4 linked regions of the Drosophila melanogaster genome follow. The protein of the gene in region 2 purifies or fractionates together with the protein of the main gene of each other region. This does not show direct contact. Each region holds a gene or a part of one and is shown on either strand. Other genes may lie near its edges.

What was found.
Region 1: the proteins of flw (region 2) and unc-13 purify together in Drosophila melanogaster (affinity purification with mass spectrometry, with the first as the bait; 2 studies listed by BioGRID). This does not show direct contact.
Region 3: the proteins of flw (region 2) and CG13625 purify together in Drosophila melanogaster (affinity purification with mass spectrometry, with the first as the bait; 2 studies listed by BioGRID). This does not show direct contact.
Region 4: the proteins of flw (region 2) and Myo28B1 purify together in Drosophila melanogaster (affinity purification with mass spectrometry, with the first as the bait; 2 studies listed by BioGRID). This does not show direct contact.

Annotation. Positions count from the first base shown.
Region 1 is NC_004353.4:890,547-895,423, forward strand, and holds the start of unc-13 (unc-13), read right to left. Parts: upstream 3,020-4,877; 5' UTR 2,959-3,019; intron 2,404-2,958; 5' UTR 2,348-2,403; intron 2,295-2,347; 5' UTR 2,251-2,294; coding exon 1-2,250.
Region 2 is NC_004354.4:10,384,029-10,388,994, forward strand, and holds the start of flw (flapwing), read left to right. Parts: upstream 1-1,931; 5' UTR 1,932-2,483; coding exon 2,484-2,535; intron 2,536-4,414; coding exon 4,415-4,807; intron 4,808-4,966. Other genes in the region: Psf3 (partner of Sld five 3), read right to left, coding at 258-398, 460-854, 923-1,025. UniProt on the Drosophila melanogaster protein: Required for cell adhesion in non-muscle tissues and in maintenance of muscle attachment. Vital for larval development.
Region 3 is NT_033777.3:24,582,510-24,586,712, reverse strand, and holds CG13625 (uncharacterized protein), read left to right. Parts: upstream 1-1,552; 5' UTR 1,553-1,632; coding exon 1,633-3,576; 3' UTR 3,577-3,646; downstream 3,647-4,203.
Region 4 is NT_033779.5:7,664,039-7,669,063, forward strand, and holds the start of Myo28B1 (myosin 28B1), read left to right. Parts: upstream 1-2,008; 5' UTR 2,009-2,038; coding exon 2,039-2,065; intron 2,066-5,025.

The sequences.
Region 1 (4,877 bases), on a different chromosome or scaffold from region 2:
GGAGTTATTTCTTAATAAATGTGCACTAAAACTGCTATCATTAGAATTATGGGATGGATTAAGGCTGTGAAATGTGGTCATATTTGCGTGTGAATTATCTATTTTAAAGTCATCCAATGAGCTGCCAACTAATTTTTTTAGAGTGTCAATATTTTTTTTTAACTTTTTTATTACCAGAACAAACTTTTCATTTGTGTTTGAAATGCAAAGCCTTTGCAGTTCTTCAGTAACAGTTAACGGATTAAGTAACAGCAAAGTCAACTTTTTATCGACCAGACTAATTTTTTGAAAAAACCTTTCTTCCGACCATACGGCATTTTGTAACTGACTCAATTGCGTTGCACTCAATGATTGTAACCCTTTAATTTTATTTATTTCCCCCAATAAAGTCTGTATTACGTTGTTTAACATTTTTCGTATATCATCTTTTAAATAACTGGTACTAATATGGTTGTCTGATTTATTTTCCGTTTCAGTTTGTTTTACACATGCATCTGAAAGTTTCGAACCCAATTCTTCAATGTCTCTCTTAATAATCTCTGTTGATTGTGCTTGTGCAAGGATACACTTTAGTTTATTAATCATATCCATTTCGTTTGTATGATGTTTTTTTTTTCTGTGCTTTCTTGGTTCTTTGTTCAAATGTTGGTTTGGCTCTGTTACGAGACACGCCTTTGCAGTCTGTAAAGGTTGTGTACCTGTAATAGCATTCACCCTCTGATTATTTAAAACTGGGGAAGAAGTTGACTGGTTTCGGATAAATGAGATGTGGTCATGTGTGGCCTCAGACTGATGTAGCAATGCATCAACCTTAAATATCTCAGAGCTCAATTCATTGTCTCGATAAGCCTCGTTTAGATTTTTATAAAAAGATTCGTCTACTTCATTAATATTAGCTGGACTTTCTGTTCCTCCAGTGTCTTCAATGGGTAAAACCTGATTTCCACCCTCGCCTGTTTTAGAGGCTGCTATTTGAAAAAAATTATTACTACTAGGGCTGACAAGTTCACAGGTTGACCGTCTCACGTATGTATCATCTATCTCACTTAACAGTGGTTCTCTAGGCTTTACAAGATTTTTATCCTTCTCAGAACTTTTTGACAATGCACCCGAGGATGCCGAAATCTCATTTAAAACTCGACGTCCATTTAAAAATTCTTTCATTAATTCGGCACGCGCGCTATTTGCTAGAAACTGCTGCCTCTCATATAACATAAGGTCAGAATCTGAGTAAAGTTTAGTTCTTGATTCCTTGTATGCTTCAAAATCCGATTGATTACCTTTTTGTTTTGGCTCGTAGCCTTTTTCAAAACCAAATTTTATTATCCCAATGTCTAAGTTTTTGCCATTGAAATCAATGTTTTCAAAATTTGGATGGGAATCTATTGCGTAAGCGGAATTCATAAGGTCTTCCGATTTAGTAGCTTGCGTATGTTTTGTTACAAAAGTTTTTTCATGATTTTCAAAAGTAAGATTCTTATCAAAGTCACGATTAGATGATTGGATATCTATATCTAATGTGTCTTCCATTTCCAACGGTAGCAATTGATCTTCATCTTGATATAAGGGTACTTTCATTCTTTCGATATCCACTTTTTGAAGTTCTTTTTTTGATGCGCCGATAAGATCCACAAGGTTGCCAACGACAGACTGTTGTTCTATTGATATGTTTTCAAGCTTTTCCAAACGAATCCAAATCTTTCCGTACTCCGTAGAAAGCAAATCCAATGCACGCCAAGCAAACTTCAGCTCTGTCTCGAGTAAACTGATCCTTGTTGCAATTTTATCCATATAATCGGAGATAATGTAGTCAGAGTGTTGCTCCGAATTGTAGCTCTGACACAACTGTTGTTCACTTTTAATCGATATCATACTTTCATTAGTATTTATGCTTGGATAACTTAAGTAAGAGAAATCCAATCCATTGGGCGACTTACTCATCGGTGGTTGCATTTCCGGTATTTGTGCTTTGGCAAGGTCAAAATCCATGTTGTGTTGGATAGAATTAAGGTGCCCCTGGCTTAAGAGCGGAGCTCTTACTGATCCGGCAGCAGAAGAGCTCAATAGTGACGACGCATAAATCGTTGATTGTTGCTGAAGTCGTAACTGCTCCTTTATTTTAATCTGGCTTTTGAGGGCATTTTCTGCAAAGATAAGCTTTTCCTGGGTGTTTATTTTGAGTTCCTTTTTAAGCAACTGACTTTTTTTTTCCGTATCCCCGGTCACTTGCAGCTGAGATGTGTTCATCATACCGTTAATTAGGGTTTTATTCGATGGATTAGTTTTGTTTTTACCTAAATAATTTTGTTTTTAAAATGTGTTTTAATGCTCTGTGTGGAATACATACGTTTATTTCAAAAGCCAATTTCGTCTGTAATACTGAATTGTTATATACATATGTACCTAAACAGCGTTAAGTGGTTGACGACAAAAAAAATACACATAACTATTAAAATTAGGTTCTTGTACTATGTATGTATGTGTATTTCAAAACGTATTTAGATAAAACCCGGTCTTAATTTCACTTCTAAGCACACTCAAAGTAAATAAAAATGCTTTTTAAATATGACCTATATTAGTTGTAACAAAATACACATGTGTCTGTTTGAAATTTACTTCAACTAAAAAACTTGTGCAATTAATTAACTAGTACCAAATGTGGTTTAATATTGGTAGGTTTTTCAATTATGCTTGTATGTACTGTAAAGGGGATCCTAAAATGGATGCGTTTATTAATTATTTGGTATCTGGGCTTAAGAGCGATTCCAGCTTTTTTTCTTTTTTATAAAAACAAAACTGTTTTATAGTCTTTCTGTGCACAAAATTATGTATATGCAATTTTTAACTAAAAGGCCTAAGCTTTTTTATCTGGCTTTCTTAATGTAAACGGTTTGAAACCACTACGAACAATTATTTGTGCTCTGCTAAGAATTAAAAAAACGTTGAAATTCACAGTACAATTTAGTAAATTCTTTGTTGCGCCTAGCTCCGTTTTCATGAAGCTACCAGCAAGTAAGCTTTGCGCGGATGACAGTTACACACTTAGAACTTTAGTTTTTAGTACACCATTGAAAAGCTTATGTATACAGAAAAAAGTCAAGTGTGGGTAAGACGGGAAAAATGTAAGAGAATATTTTTCTATCTATTGCGCATGCCTTAACCATTCTCTGTCAAACGCTCTTAAAGTTTTTGTAATAAACTGAACTTACTCCTTTTTTTATAATGTCACATCTAAGACCATTTATTAACCGTTTACAATTCGTAAACGGTTAACAGGTTTTCAGAATAATTACATCGAACGATTTTGTTAAGAGTTGCCTCGAAATATGTCAAATTAAGACCATTCAAATTAAAAGCTTTAGTCGTACTCCCTAATCAATTTTGAATAATTTTCAGGGGCAATACATTGCGTTATGTCAGAATTGTCTCAAGATCAAGTCCAATGGAATTCCCTTAAAAAGGAAATGACAAACATTAAATATTTAAGAACAATTTTGAAAGCTTTAGTCGAAAGTTTTGACTGTGACATGCCCATTGCTCAAGAAATGCGAGGAACTGTTTCCGTTATTTATCGAGCATCAATTTGCGGTCGTTACATGAATTGTTTAAAAGTTTTGAGTTAATGTTGCCATTCATTGAAACAGATATGAAATTTCTAAGATAAAACGGCGGTGTCTTATTTATACCGTTACAAAATCCTAAATTTGTTAGATTTGTGTTTATAAAATATATGGTGGTTATCAATTAGCAATAGGTCAGGGTGGACGATAAGCGTACTGGCGAAGCAAAGAAATAAAAATACTAGTAAAGGAAAGGCAACGAAAAAAACAACCAATACTTAAAAAAATTATATTCAGGAGAAAAATTATGTTTTTGGCGAATTTGTTAATATGAAAATTTTGTTTTTTTTTTTGTCTGTCTGCTCAATCCTAGTATGCATTTATTTATGTTTAAGTGCTTGACAGACAATACCACTTTTCGTAAAACCCTTAAAGCTGTATATACTTTAAAATTCCTTAAATTCGTCAATACATTTTCGTTAAAAAATTGTTAGGCAGCCAAAACAGCTTTTTACCCAACGAAAGAAGAAGTGGAAAAAATAACTGTTTAGGGTTTAAAAATAGAAGCATTGAACTGATCCTTGTCTGTTGTCAAAAGTATTTACACACAATTTTTACGCGTCAAAATTATTTACATACAGCTTTTTTAATTGTTTTTTGCGTTTTTTTTTCGTGGAGAACAGTCTATTTCCTGAGGTGAATGCGTGCTCATTTAAGATATGGAGGTATCCTGTTTGATTTATTGTACCCTCTATCGGTACCATGTCTCCAAATCCAAAGTAGCTTAAACAGCCCCAGAACATCACCGTGCCACCACCAAATCGATTGATTAGCTGGACGGCATTCAACCTTTAGTTTTTTTGGGAAATGCATAAATTTCTTGCTAAAGGATCTCTGAAACTGAAACCCAATTTCATCAGTCCATAAAACATCAAACCAGAACTCGATAGGCTTCTCTTTATACTCCAAGGCAAATGAGAGACGTTTTTCATAGGAGTTGATGTCAACTTCCTTCATTCTGCGACGCAGTGTACTATATGTTTTCCAATTAAATTTTTCGAAGCTGCGGCAATTAAAACGGGACTAATGGTGGGATTACTGAGTACAACTCCAATAATGTGTCTGCAGTCTTGGGTTCAATGCAACTTTTCGGCCAGGTTTCTTTTAATTTTCCAAATTTCCCAGTGTCCTTTTTTTTAACTAAATTGTACACAGTTTTACGTGATATTTTGTACAACTCAGCTAATTTGGATGCAGAAGAACCAGTCTTAAGTTTAGTGACAATCTCGACTCGATGCCCAACTGATAGCTCCTTTG
Region 2 (4,966 bases):
TGAAAAACGCAGAACGGCAGCTCCTATGTGTTTTGTTTAAGACCGGTCCCGGATTGGATGCTTAGTTATGCGTAGATGTATGCGAAACCCATGTATTTTGAACTGTACAAATGGATTTAGCCGTGTGCATAGAGTAGATGAAAAGTGTATTTTTGAGAGGTCAGGCTGCCCTATGGCCACCGAACGAATGGACGAAATAAAGTTGCTACAGTTCCACAGTACATCAGTGGTCTGTTTTTGTTGTTTTACTCTGCTTGTTACAAGGTGGCCCGCTTGCTGTTGGGCAGAGCATCGCCCTCGTCATCGCTGCGATCCGCACGTCGCCGCTTCTTTTGGTGCTCCTCGACCAGCTCCGAGGTGCGAATCTTGTTGCCCGTCATCTGCAGCCATTCGATGTACTGAAATTATGTGATTAATATAACACTCCGTGCCCACTTGACTGGTAGTACAGCCACCCACCTGACTGTTGGTGCGCACTCCAGCCTCGTGCAGCTTGGCCTCGATGTTATCCAGTCGATGCTCCGCCTTGGCTGCCTGTCCGTCGCTCTTCGAGATGTCCAGGAGATGACGTACCCTCTGGCGCAGCGTTTCGAAGATGATGCGGCCGATGACATGGTTGCGATCGTAGGGCGTCAGATAGCGACCGAACTCGTAGAAGTACGGGTGCAGGCGTCCCAGCTCGATGTGCGTGGTCTCCGCCTCGCAGACGGCCTTATGCACATTGCGATAGATATCTGGCACGGCGACGGTGAAGTAGGCATTGTTTACCTTCAGCTCCTTGATGTACCACAACGGCAGATTGACCGTCCTGCCGGGCTCCAGGTCATCCGATTCCGCGCCGGAGTCCAGGAATCCTGCAAGCAACTCAATATTGTCGGATTACTGGCCAGAATGTGCGTGTCCGTCCAAGCCAATCACTTACCCATCCGCTGCAGCTTGGTGTTCACCCGACATTCCACCTTCTCCTGGGTCACGAATATGTCCTCGATGGAGTAATAGTTCGGAAAATAGTTCATTCCGTTCATTGCGCGGCCCAGCTTTATGATTCGTTTGGTGTTTACTTTAGGTAAATTCAATTTCTTAAGTGCGCGACCTATCGCCTATCGATATTAGATGCATTTTGCCGGGGTCTATCGAGGCAGAAACAGCTGTTTGCCTGGATGCCGAGGCACTCGATAGGTTTTATGTACTATATATATCGAAGCATTTATATGTATTATATGTAAATAGTTTTTCCGGAAAATTACTCTTATTTCAGCGCGAATTTTAAATTGCAGCCTGCACTTGACATTTTTTTATACATAAAATTACTAGTCAGGGTATAATTACTCAAAGTTGTAAATGATGTGGAACATGTGAACTCAGCTTAGTAATAGTAATTCGATACGATTGCAATTAGATGGTTACTTCTTCCGCAAGTTCTTAGGCTTATCTGCATCTTTCAAAAACAAATAAAAATAAAGGTTTCGTTCCCGGCAATGACTATTTTGACTTCAATTTCGAACAATTGATCTTAATCTAGCCGTATGATCATCAAGTCGTCGATAAAGTCGCCCATATTAAAAATCATCAATCCACTTGAGATCAAAAATAGCAAAGCCGCGTGCTTCGAGTTTTTCTTGTTGGCGACGAGGAACGGACAGATGGTCGAAAGAGCCATTTCGATTTAGCTATGTGTGTGCAAGGATTAGAGAAATGTGTGTGTAGTTAATATCAGTTAATAACGAAATCATAGGGAGCACACAACTTGTTCGGTCGAGATTTGAGTTCACAGTAAGAAGTTTGAAGGCACGAGCGTTGAAGTGCGAAAAAGGACTTTGACAGTTAACTCCCGCGTTGCTGAGCACTGGCTGGCTTCGTTGCCCATCGGACTATCGATAAAGTCGAACTGTAAAGCCGCCGCCACCAAAAACTTTTTCAGCCTTCCGGCAAACGGTCATACTCAGCTAGCTGTCCGACGAGTTTTGTTATTGGCGGAGAAAAGATTACGCTGGTTTATAAATTCTCAGTTAAGCCGATTTCTCAGCTCCTCTCCCCCTGCAGAGATCTAACACATCTATATAGATATATATATTTTATATATTCCTTGATCGATTTGCGATCCCGAAAGTCGATCAGCCGTGCGTCTATATATTTTTTTTTCTGTTCTTGCCCCTCGTGCAACATCAGTGAACATCAGCGGCCCACCGTACAAAATCTCAATAAGAAAAAAAGAGAGCATAAAGTGAAATTGCCTTTTGCGGCAAGTAAGAAAACGACCAAAAAAGAGAAAAGAATATAACGACTATTTGAATTAAACAAAGTTTATTGTTTACAATAGCATACAATACAAGTTTATAAGCTAACGGGCGTCGCTGTGCGTGTGTGTGTGCTTGTGTGTGCGTGCGTGTAGTTGTTGCGCCAAAAATTCCAATCGGAATTCTGGAACAGCTGGCCACAACAACAAAACGCGGCCAATAGAAGAACAATTTAGCTGCTGAAAAATGGGCGACTTCGATCTGAATGTGGACAGCTTGATACAGCGGCTGCTGGAGAGTAAGTAGATGCGAAATTTCCCCCTCTTTCAATCCTACTTTCCCAAAACCTCCCCCCCAAACCCTCTACGCCCCTCCCACGCCACTGTCCCCATTTTAATTTATTACACAGTTTATCTGCGTGTGTGTGTGTGTGCGATTGCATTTTCTAATTATTGCACATTGTTCGCTTAAATGGTAGTAGGTTTTCTTTTTGTTGTTGCGACAGCCCCTCTCTCTACCGCCGCCGCCGCCACCGCTGCTGCCGCTGCAACCGTTTGAATTTGACTCTTGAATCAATTAGTTTTAATTGATTTTCATTGCTCCTCTTGAAAAACAGCAAAAACCATAAAAACAACAACAACAACAGCGACAGCATCTACGCTACGCTCATTAGCGTTTACATAATACTAACAGTGATCGCGCTGTTAAGCACGCCATCTCTGTCCTGCGCTAATGTCTCCCAAATGATTTTTGGTTTATTAGCTGTGTTTTTTCTTGTTTCGCCTATATTGGCAATGACGTCATCGAGCTGATAAACACGGGCGTGATTCAAACAGAATGTGTAGCTATGAAATCGCCGACGAAGGAATGGAACGGAATCACATGAGTTACTCGATAAGGAGCTTTGTCGCAAGTAACCCCACTGCCCGTTGGAGTGGGATCGCTGTTCGTGTCACGCAACTATCGCTAAAGACGGTTGAGAAATCTACGACCGATATATCCTATATTTCCTAGCCCCCAAGAAGATATTTTTATCCAGCGATCAATATCAATATAATTTTTACTGGGTATCGACCGCTATAGCCGATATCCACTGTATGTGGCTTAGAATGGGTGGTGGGGGCTGTGTCATCGTCGTCATCATGCAACCTTCCTGCAAAGCGTAAAAGCGCTAAATAGTTTACATTTTTGCAACCTCTTCTAGGTTTCGAATGCGATATGCCTTTGCCCTGGTGAAAACCCAACATCTGCGAGGGTTGCTTAAGCCGCTTAGTGCTTGTCTCGTTTTGCAAGTGTCAGCCAATGTCGAAGATACGGCATGGGACGGGATGGGCTTTTCCGCTTTTCCGGGGGGCGGGCCGCCGCCACCATTTGGCTTTAGCTCTGACCGACGCCACGGGGAAATTGCATTTGAACATTGCGATTTTCGGTTTTTGTCCATTTCCGCAATGAGTTTCGCTTTTCTTCCTCCGATTCTGTCTTTCGGTTTCACTTATTTCTTGCGCTGATATGACACGACCCAACTACAGTGGTCATTCGACGGAAGAACACAGCGGAAAAGGAAAACGGAGAAGAATCTTTTCAGATATCGGTTATGTTTCTACGTTATGAAGTATGTAAATATATCATAGAAAGTATATTTCCTTACTTACCGTGTTAGCTACCGAGTGATCACTGTAAACCACTCTCAGCTGCCAAAGCAGATGGGCGATGGGCAAAAGGGGCAGATTGAGCGAGATGGTCGAGGTAGGCCACAACCATTTGTCAAGGTCATCGAGTGGGCTAGGTCATGGCACTACGCCCACCACCCCATCCCCCGAAAAATGCCATTAATTTTGATCTATGAAGCGTCGTCAGCCTCTGTCACCGGCAGCAAAAAAAAAAAAAGAAAATAAAATGGCAAAAGCAGCGGCGGCGGCAGATAAATTTCATTTGTCAAATTGCAAATTGAAATTGAATTTTTAGGGCACTTAGCCGGGCTGTCGTGTTTTCTGGCTCTCGCTTTTCCGAGAAATATGGAAATTTCGCCCTCCTTTTGTGTTCTTTTATGCTTTTTTCCCGCAAGCCCACTCCACCTATCCCACACCCCTTAGTTTTAATAGATCTCTCTCTCTATATATATATATATATGTGTACGTATATATGAATATATATGTATATGTGCATCCATTCGAAAGACTTTAAAAAACAAAAAGAGGCCGAAGAGCACGCCCAGAAGCTGCTAATCGCTCAACAATTGGCCGCCGCCGGCGGAGCATCCGGCGCATCTGCCACATCGCCCACATCCAGCAGCAATTACTCGTCGATGGCGGCGGTGGCCTCCTTTGGATCCGGATACGGATCGGGATCTGGTGCTGGTGCTCCTGGTGCCGGCGCTGGCCCAGGATCCAGCCATGATCCGCTCGACGATCTCACCGAACAGCAGCGCCGTCTGCTCCAGCAATACTCGATATCGCCGCCCAGCGAGACGATGATATCGGCCGATGGCGACCAGATCACCGTCCATCATCCGCGCGAGGAGCCCAAGAAATCCAGATTGAAACTGCGCGATTTTTTCGTCGCCGAGTTTGGTATTACCACTTTCAATCTAAGAACAACCTCCCCTATTGATCACTTTGTCGATGTTTGATGATCATCCATAAGTCCAGTGCAAAAGTAAAAGCCATACTGCAGTGGTCACCATGACCATGAGACTTCATACTCTAAGTAGCGTGCTGTCCTCTATAACC
Region 3 (4,203 bases), on a different chromosome or scaffold from region 2:
CAAAACAGAAACAGAGATGGCAGAAGTAGAGCGCGGCAGACAAAGCAGCGAGAGCGAGAAGGAGACGCGCGTAAGAGCGAGTGCGTCAGAGCGAGAGATAATGAAGATGGCAGGGGGAGGGTAAGGAGGTTAAGCACGCCGTGGGCTTTAAATTTCATGAATGCGAGCGCAAAAAACTGGGCAAAAAGAAATGCGAACAATGCAGAAAAAGGGGTAATGGAGAGAACGCAACCAAAACAACGGAATATAATAAGAGCGCTTTAAAAGCTCAGTTAAGCGAATTAATTTGCATGCCATTCGCGCGTTCTTGCACTCAAAATGTGAATATGTGGGTGCCCCCGACCCTTTGCTTACCAACACCACCGCCCCGCCCCCCCCGCTTCGCTCCTCCACAGCCCTTTTTGACTTTCCCCAACGCTTTTCCTGCCAATTGTTGTTCGTCTCGGGCATTGTTGCTGCGTGCTCTTTGTTTTTGCGCTTCATTTCATTCGTCACTTAAACACCCCTCGTCACTTAGTGCCCCCTACCCCTTCCCCATCAGACCCACTGCCCCCCTGCCGCACAAAATGCAACATCCTGGCAGCCATGTGATGCCAATGCCGATTCCCTATGCCGATTCCACACAAAAAGGCTGCAGTAAGAGCCCTCGAGGACTTTCCACTTAGTCTCCTGAAGAGAACGCGCCACTTCAGAGTTTTCAGGAAGTAAGACAAATAATTGCCGTGGCTCGATTTAATCCGCCATTTAAGCGCATTTAAGCCGCTTATTCGGCTGCTTAGTACTTACGTTTTCTAGGAAACAGAAACATTCACCCGAAGTTAATCCGCCGCCGATAACGCCGCCGCCAGCAAAATAAGGCCGGCGGCCCAATTAACAACGCCCATGCAACACGATAATTAGGTGCAACTTTTCTCTTCTTCGATCACATAACGAAAGTTAAATGTAAATGGGCTTTGGAATTCACAAATTTTTACGAAATTTTCTTTTCTATGCGTTTCCTGCGAAATTTCTCTCAGCGGAAAACACGCTGTGGCGAGTTTGAAGGCTTCACCAGGAATTTGTTGACTTGTCAGTGCGCCTCGAAGTTAGTGATGCGCAGGCGAATGGCCGCAAAAATAATCGCATGAATTTGGGCAAATTGGTAAGCAGAGTGCACTCGTCTATTGATGAGCAGCAGTTTTATTCAGGCAATTAGGTGCATTGAAAACTTCCAAGTGTAAATATTTACCTTAATTCCATAACATAACTGCCTTATCGAATGCTTTTGGTTAACAGTTAGTCACTATGGCGCGCAGAATAATTGATTTAAAAATTTGAAGCGCAATATTACGTTTTAAGAATGTAATGATCAATAAATGGCAAGAAATCAAATCTACATAATAATATATGCTATCATATTGAAGAATGTAATGAAAAACAAGCTTAGTTTATATAATTAATTAAATGACAAGTGCATACACGCTGGCGTTGCCAGACTGCTGCACATTGTTAACTGCGTGCTGTTAAGCGCAGCCTAACAGCACTCAAGCAGTGCGTGGCATTTCGACACATACTATGAACGGTAACATTGAGCACATAAAAAACGTAAACAATTCATTGTAAATTACAATTTCCCGCTTTTATTGCACAAAAATGTCCATGCAAAAGGCCAAAGTCATCGACCAGAAGGAGTACCTCAAGAAGTACCTATCCGGCGACAAGGAGAAGAAGAAGAAAAAGAAGGAGAAGAAGCACAAAAAGAATTCGGCCAACACCAAAGTGAAAATCATCGATGACGACGCCTACGAAAATGATAATCTGGAAATGGACGAAGATCTACTGCTGGGCGGCGAGGATGCGCCTCAAATTGTGGGCGAGTACATCGAAGAGGATCCCAATGTGCGCAGCAAGTGGCGCAACATTGCCGTCAAGGATGAAATCAAAGAAGAGCACGAGGAATCCTCGCCAGCAACTGGCATTCGCATCAAACAGGAGCCCTTGGATGAGGAGCAGGAGATGTGGGGACGCAAGGCGACAGTTGTTAAGGTTAAGGATGAATTCTCACCATCCAGACGAAGTTCACCCGTCAGAATTAAGCAAGAAAAACGCAGCAGCTCTAGGGATTTAAGCCCAGCGAGATCGAGTAAGCCAGCAAAGCGAGAAGAGAGTCCTCAAAGGGGGCGAAGAAGGGCGGGAAGCTCAGATCAGAGTCCCACCAGACGAGGGCGAGATGGCGATCAGTCTCCGCCACGCCAAAAGCACAGGGATTCCGATCAGAGTCCACCCCGAAAGGCCAGGAATGGCAATCAATCGCCAGTCAGAAAAAGGCGGGATTCCGACCAAAGTCCGCCAAGAAAACGAACGGGAAAAGCATCACCCACTCGAAGGAGAAGGGATTCCGATCAATCGCCACCCAGACGCCGCAGAAGTAACTCCGATCAGAGTCCGCCAAGGCGACGTAGAGACAAGGATTCAACTCCGCCCAGAAGGAGGAAAGATTCCGATCAAAGCCCACCTCGAAGGCGTAAAGCAGACGATCAATCTCCGGTGCGAAGGGAAAGGAAAGACTCCGACCAAAGTCCGCCTAGGAAACGGAGAGACAATGACCAGTCTCCAGTGCGAAGGAGGCGGGATTCAGATCAAAGCCCGCCCCGAAGACGCAGAGATGACAAGCAAACGCCGCCAAGGAGGAGAAGAAACTCCGATCAAAGCCCGCCAAGAAGACCCAAGGATGTAGATCAATCGCCACCGCGAAGAAAACGAGACTTCGACCAAAGTCCAACCAGAAAACGAGACAAATCACCACGCAGACGTCACGACTCCGACCAAAGCCCGGCCAGAAATCACAGAAGTCGAGAGCGCAGTCCACCGCCTCGTAATCGCTTCAAGGAAGAAAGGAAAAGTCGCTGGGCCAAGGCATCGCCCAGCAAATCAGCATCTCCACCTCCGACACACAAGCCGAAATCCACCAAGACACTAGATGGCAAGAAAGCTGGACTGCAGGATGCGAAATCGCTGAAGAAGGAAACCGACGAAAGGCGTCGACAAGAACATGAACTATTCGAGAAAATGTCCAGCGAAATTTCCGGTCGTGATGGCGATGTGCAGGTGCGCAGTACTCGCAGAAAGGGACACCGAGCACGAGATGCCGCCAATGAGGATCCCGCCGAGCAGGGCCGCAAAGAGGAGCACGAGAAAAAGAAGAAGGAACTGTACGATCGCTGGGGCAAGGGGTTGAAGCAAATAGAAGATCACAAGTCCCGCCTGGAGGAGATGGTCCATGAGGCCTCCAAACCGGTGGCTCGCTATGCCAACGACGAGGATCTGGACAGGCATCTGCGCGAACAGGAGCACGCCGACGACCCGATGCTGGAGTACATGCGCCAGAAGCGCAAGAAACGCGACCAGCAGGACAACAAGCCGGTGATGCCCAAGTACGAGGGCAGCTTTCCGGAGAACCGATTTGGCATCCGACCAGGATATCGCTGGGATGGCGTCGATCGATCCAACGGCTACGAGCAGCGTTGGTTCGACAAACAGAACGAACGGCGGGCCGTGCAGGATGAGGCCTACAAGTACAGCGTGGAGGATATGTGAATGTTGCAAGCGTTGTTTGCTTTCGTGTTGCAATAAAGATGTAGGCACTGCCTGTAAAAAAGAAAAGAGCAATTACATTGATCGTTTTCTTTGTTTTATTGAATTATTTTGGAAAATAAAGAATGTAAATAGGTAATATAATATTTAATATTTATTTACAAAAATTTGATTTTCGAAATGCCCGCCACTTTCCCGCCAAATCGACGTGCCACCTGCAACACTGGTCGCCAGCGCAATGCAACCCTGTGTGTAGAATAGCGGAGCAAAAGCGAATGGTAAATAGTCTTCATCTACACCTGCGACCTGCTCGTCGCTCCCAAAAAATCGTTTCAAAACCACGGAATAAACCGTGTAACTGGGGAAAACCCATTGTAATTATCAAGTTTAAAGTGTGCCGCACATTTTGGCTTCAAAACCAGAATAGGTAAGTGACATCATCTGCTAAATAGAAGCATTCTAAGATTTTTGCTTTGTAAGCAATAGAGTATCGATGTGTGTGTGTGTATGTAAATGGTTCTGCTTTTGGTTGCTTTGTTGCTGCTTTCGTTACAGCGAACAAAGCGTAAGCAACTGTATATGTGTATCGAGTGGGACGCCAGTGGTGTGTGTTTGTTGCCCCGCCCCCAA
Region 4 (5,025 bases), on a different chromosome or scaffold from region 2:
GTGCCACTTGCGTGCATTGCATAAATAGATTTTTCACTCTCAAAAAAAACCGAAAACGGCTAAATTATACAGAAATAGGAATGGAATTGCAGTAAATCGGTAAGGAAAGTTAGGGGAGTGTAATGCGTGTAAATGTTTGGAAGTTCAAATGGTAATTCCCGCTAGAAATTTGTAGCGATTAAGTTCCATTGCTCGAACTTAAGTTACTTTCTAGTTGATTAGGCCTTACTAAGATCTTCCATGTATATATGAAGTACTTAAACATTATCCCCCATAGTCGACCTCATTTTTGTATTATTTATTTTCAATAGAACCGAATTAGCAATTTCGCATTCCACAGTACCAAATGAGGTAATCTGAATTGATGACAAACGATTGAGGATTGCAGGCCAATACTCGAATTTTATTCCCCAGGCTCTGATGTCGTTTTTATGCCGCACATGAATTCTGTCAACGTCCCATCAACAAACAGTCATATACGAGTGCCCCATACCGCCAAAAACCAAATGTGTTGGCATATGTTATGAAATTAACGAGTTTACTTTATGCGGGCGGCATTATAAACAGGCAAACAAAAATGGCCTAATAAAATTGTCAATAATGCGACACCCACATGCGGTGAGGAAATCAAATGAGGGTTAGCAAAGTGCGGAGAGTGCTGAGATAAATGCTGACAACAAGGACATTACTCATACGCAACGTGTGCACGCTTCGACTGGAAATCAACTGCAGCTGACCAAAAATCAGTGTCACTTTCAGCGGGTTCATTTATCATCGTTTTGCCTTGGCGGCATCCAAGGATTGAGGGTCAGAGGAGCAGGTCCTGGGTCCTGGGGCAGCTGTCATGTTGAGCTAGTCAACGTGATTTGTCTCGACGCCAGTCAAATCAAGTTTTTCCTAGAAGTCGTGCCCTTTCGCTGATGGCACACTGAGCGAAATGTGTGCACCAAAGAGGAAAATTATTTTGTCCACTTTTTCTTCTTCCTCTAAATAGCTATTGATCATTCGTTGTCAAATATTAGCTATCTGTTGATAGTTTAGCTCACTCTTTTATAACTTAATAATATGATTATAATCTTCACTATTTTTTTTATTGCGATGTTAATCTCTGTGCATGAAAACCGCACCCACTCTCGGGGTGGATGCGATGGGAAAATATGGTGCCAAGTGAAAACTTTCAAGGTCCCACGCACACATTTCCTCGTTGTTGCGTGTAAACTCATAATTTGGCGGCACGGTGAAAGTTTTGCTTAGAATTCGTTGTCGCTCAATTTGATGCGTGCGAATGGGCGGTAAGCGTGGGGCGTGGCTCTCTAGGCTATTATGATTATCGCTTGCGAAAACATTAATTAGAAGGTCATTGGCGAACAGCAAGAGCTGTTCGTTAATAATATTAATTAAGCCATTACGCTCAACTTCCATTTGGGTTGGTTGAGTGTCAATGGAATGGCATTACCCAAACTTAATTGAAGCAAAATGTAATGCGACACTGGGGAGGGGAATTACGGAAGGACTAATTGTAGCCACTTACACGTCAGGGTATTTATTCGAGTAGTAGTTTCAAGCTAAGCCAGCTAATTGCCTACTTTTAATTTTAGTTTGACTCCTTCAATGCATTTTCTTTTTATTCAAACTTAGGCTGAGAAGGTTGGACAACGTAAGGGTATATTTTTAAATTTTACAATACCACCATTGCTGTTAACAGTCAATATAACACAAGAATTCTGGAATACTGATAACATTTTGTGTCATTTCATTGAATTTTTAAATGCATCGCAGATGTGGTGCGAACTGTTTCCCTTAGATTTAGTTCTCGCCCATTTGCCATTTCTTTCGGCTCATCTCTCGCATTTTCCCATTTCCGCAGATCAGCCAAACGGCAATGGCAATGGTAATGGCAAAGAAAAGCGGCCGAGTGGCAGGAAAGGCAAACAACGGCATGGAAAACTAGATAATGTGGCAAGCGAATAAACAAATCTCGCCATGGGCCCCTCTCTATATACACAGTTGGTCAGTTCCGCACAAGTCGGCGTAGAAAATGGACGCCGGCTATTCGCCCCGAAAAGTACGTGTGAAATTATCATTATTCAATTGTGTTTTTGGGTAAAGTGCGAGTGTATGTATCTGCATGAACGGGAGTGTGTTTATGCGTTGGTAAATTAAATTTGAAACGCAACGCAATTAAAGAAAGTGAAATCCGATCGAATTGAAATGCAATCAAATGCGAATTCAAATCAATAAAATTGATTGCAGAGCGGGAGGAGAAATCAAATAACAGGCAGGAAAAGTGGTCGGAAAAGCTTTCACCGGACAGCCCACGACTCTGACATTTGTTTGGGCGGATCGCAAAATTGACCATTCACTGGAAATGCGTTTTTAATGTTCCAGCTATGTGGTAATGACAAAGAGTCCATGACCACCATCTGTGGTGCGGATGTGGATTCACTTGCCGCACTTCGTGGCCATGTTCGACCTTTTCCTCTTTCACCTTTCACTCCCCCCGAACCGGATGTAATAAAGGCGAACGAAGACGGACATGCAACGGAAGTGCAGAAACACCCTCCGCGGCCAACTGCCCCAGACTGGGTGCCTCGTAAATTCGGATGGTTTCTGTTATTTACGGTCTGTTTGATTGCACAACAATGTGTTTATGTGTAAGGTGACATTTGTAATTGGCAAGGAAGCCAGGAAGTCGACCCCGACGACATTCGCAGAAAGCCATAATAGTAATGGTAAACGTGGTGGGACGTTGCAGGTGAAGGCACTAACCATAAATCGCGATTGCTATCCAAAGGAATGTTTTTTGTGAATGTGTGTTGGGCTTGAAGGTCAAACTTAAAAAGTTAAAAATAAAATGAAGTCAAGTGGCTTTCTAGCTTAGTGTCCTTCCTAAATCAAGCCTCGAGATCTGCTTCGATTAATTTGATGTGAAACTAGATAGAACTTTGAAGATACATTCCATTTTTATTAATAATATATAAAACAAAGCCCACACACTGACATCCATTTAAACAATGCACTCAAATATATAGCCCAAGTATTTGTTTCCCGTTTTTATTCCAACTGCTGCTTCAAGTAAATATTATTAATATGCCAAATCTGGTAGCCGCGGGCTGACTCTTGGAATCGAAACTCAGCAAACAAATGTGTTGATTGAATTTATTTTTATTAAAATGTTATCCCAGCAGACACCTCCTCACAATCCGAAAACCATGTGGCACTGAATCCTGGCACTTGCTGGTTGGCTGCCACGTCCTTGTTGACGTTTTGTTTGTTTTTCTCTCTGTCGTCGTGGTCTTTTTTATTTTGTTACGCCAAGTAAAATTGAATTCAGCTGAAATCTCTTTGAGTTGCTCACACGTTCTTATTATTTCACGGAACAAACAGAAATCCCTTCCAGCCCAGAAAGATTTATCCTTCGCCTTCCGTTATTTTCTGTCAAAATTGAAAAGTTTCTCGGGGAACAGCCGTCATAAAAAGCAAGAAATAAGTTCATAGTGCCAAGAAGGATATCAGCGATGTTGCGGCTATGTTTGCCTTGCTGTCGCCTCGCATTTTCGAAAATGTTTTGCATGCGAATGTTGTCCAAGGACACTTTTTGCCATCCTCTCGCCCCTAAGCATTCCAGCCCTGACACACATTTTCCTTTTCCGCCAAGAAGCAGAGGAAATGCCACCAAAACGCTGAAACGGTTTCGGTTTCGCTGCCTACCGGTAAAGAGATTAATTAACCGATTCCGGCTGCCAGTTGGCACATTTCCCTCTTCGCTCGCAGTTAATTAGCGCACACTCTTGGTGGTGGTGGTGGTGTGTAATTTCCCAGAAAATCATTGCAGAAAACGCTGACGTCATTGACATATGCCCCAAGCTCCAGATGGCAAGGGAATCCGACCAACCCGCAGACAATGCCTCAATTAATCCCCATAATGGTCGAAAACCGCAGCAACATTCGTCCCACAATGTCCCGAGATGTTGACAGTTGTCAGCCTCCTTTTGTTTCCGCGGCAATCAGTCGAACAAATTGCTCTGGAACGCAGTGAGGAATTATAACTGGCTATGGGATAATTGTTATCTGGCTGCTGACGGATAACTGATGAAATGCAAATGGGCTCAAATCAACGTCTGAGCTGGCTTAAAACAGCACTTAGATCTGACGACTGGCAAAGAAAATTAAGGGCTTTTAGACTACAAGCCTATTATTTATGTCCATGTATCATCATCATATGTATACAATTCAAAACAAATTACACACTTAAGTCTCAATATTGAATTGCAACCCTTTTAATTATGATTCGAAATAGCTCTGTACAAACAATTGTACAATTGCCTTGCAGATAATAAACTATTGCGAGTGCTTTTGAATTCTGAGTTGCAAGTGATTAAAATTTCATTATTTCTTATGTATTCAACATTTATTTAGTTTTAATAAAATATTCCAGGAACGAAACTCATTAGTGTGATATTTTGTTTGTTTTTTTTTTTCGTGCAACTGATTTGCGTGAATGAAACGTTTCCAATTAATAAGGAGTCCAGACAGACGCAAACACGTATATTCACACTGTGCATAAATGATTAATGATCTGTGTCCTGGCCGTGTCCTTTCTATTCGCAAACGATGCGCAAAGGACCGTTCACGCTGGACTCACGTCTGCTGTCCACGCTGCTTTTGCATAATTAAATCATCCTCAATTGCTCCACATTTTTCCGACTTTTCTCACATTACTCTTTGTCTAGCTCGGTGGCTGTCAGTCATTTTTGCCGCTTTGCTTGTCCGCAGGAATTATCTGGACCCCGTGGTACTCTACCTATTTTTTGGGTCTCCTCTTCGCCTATCGCTTTCCAATAACAACAGTTGAGTGGGAATTGATATTTCGCTTTGATTTAATGAAGGGATGTGGCTTATTTTTAATGCGAATCTAAGAAGTTAAGTCAACTGCGGAAATTCCTTGAGGAGTGAATCAACGCCAAAGGACTCAATCCCCTTGGAAATCCCCAACTGAATTCCATTCAAAGGTATGTTTATTTC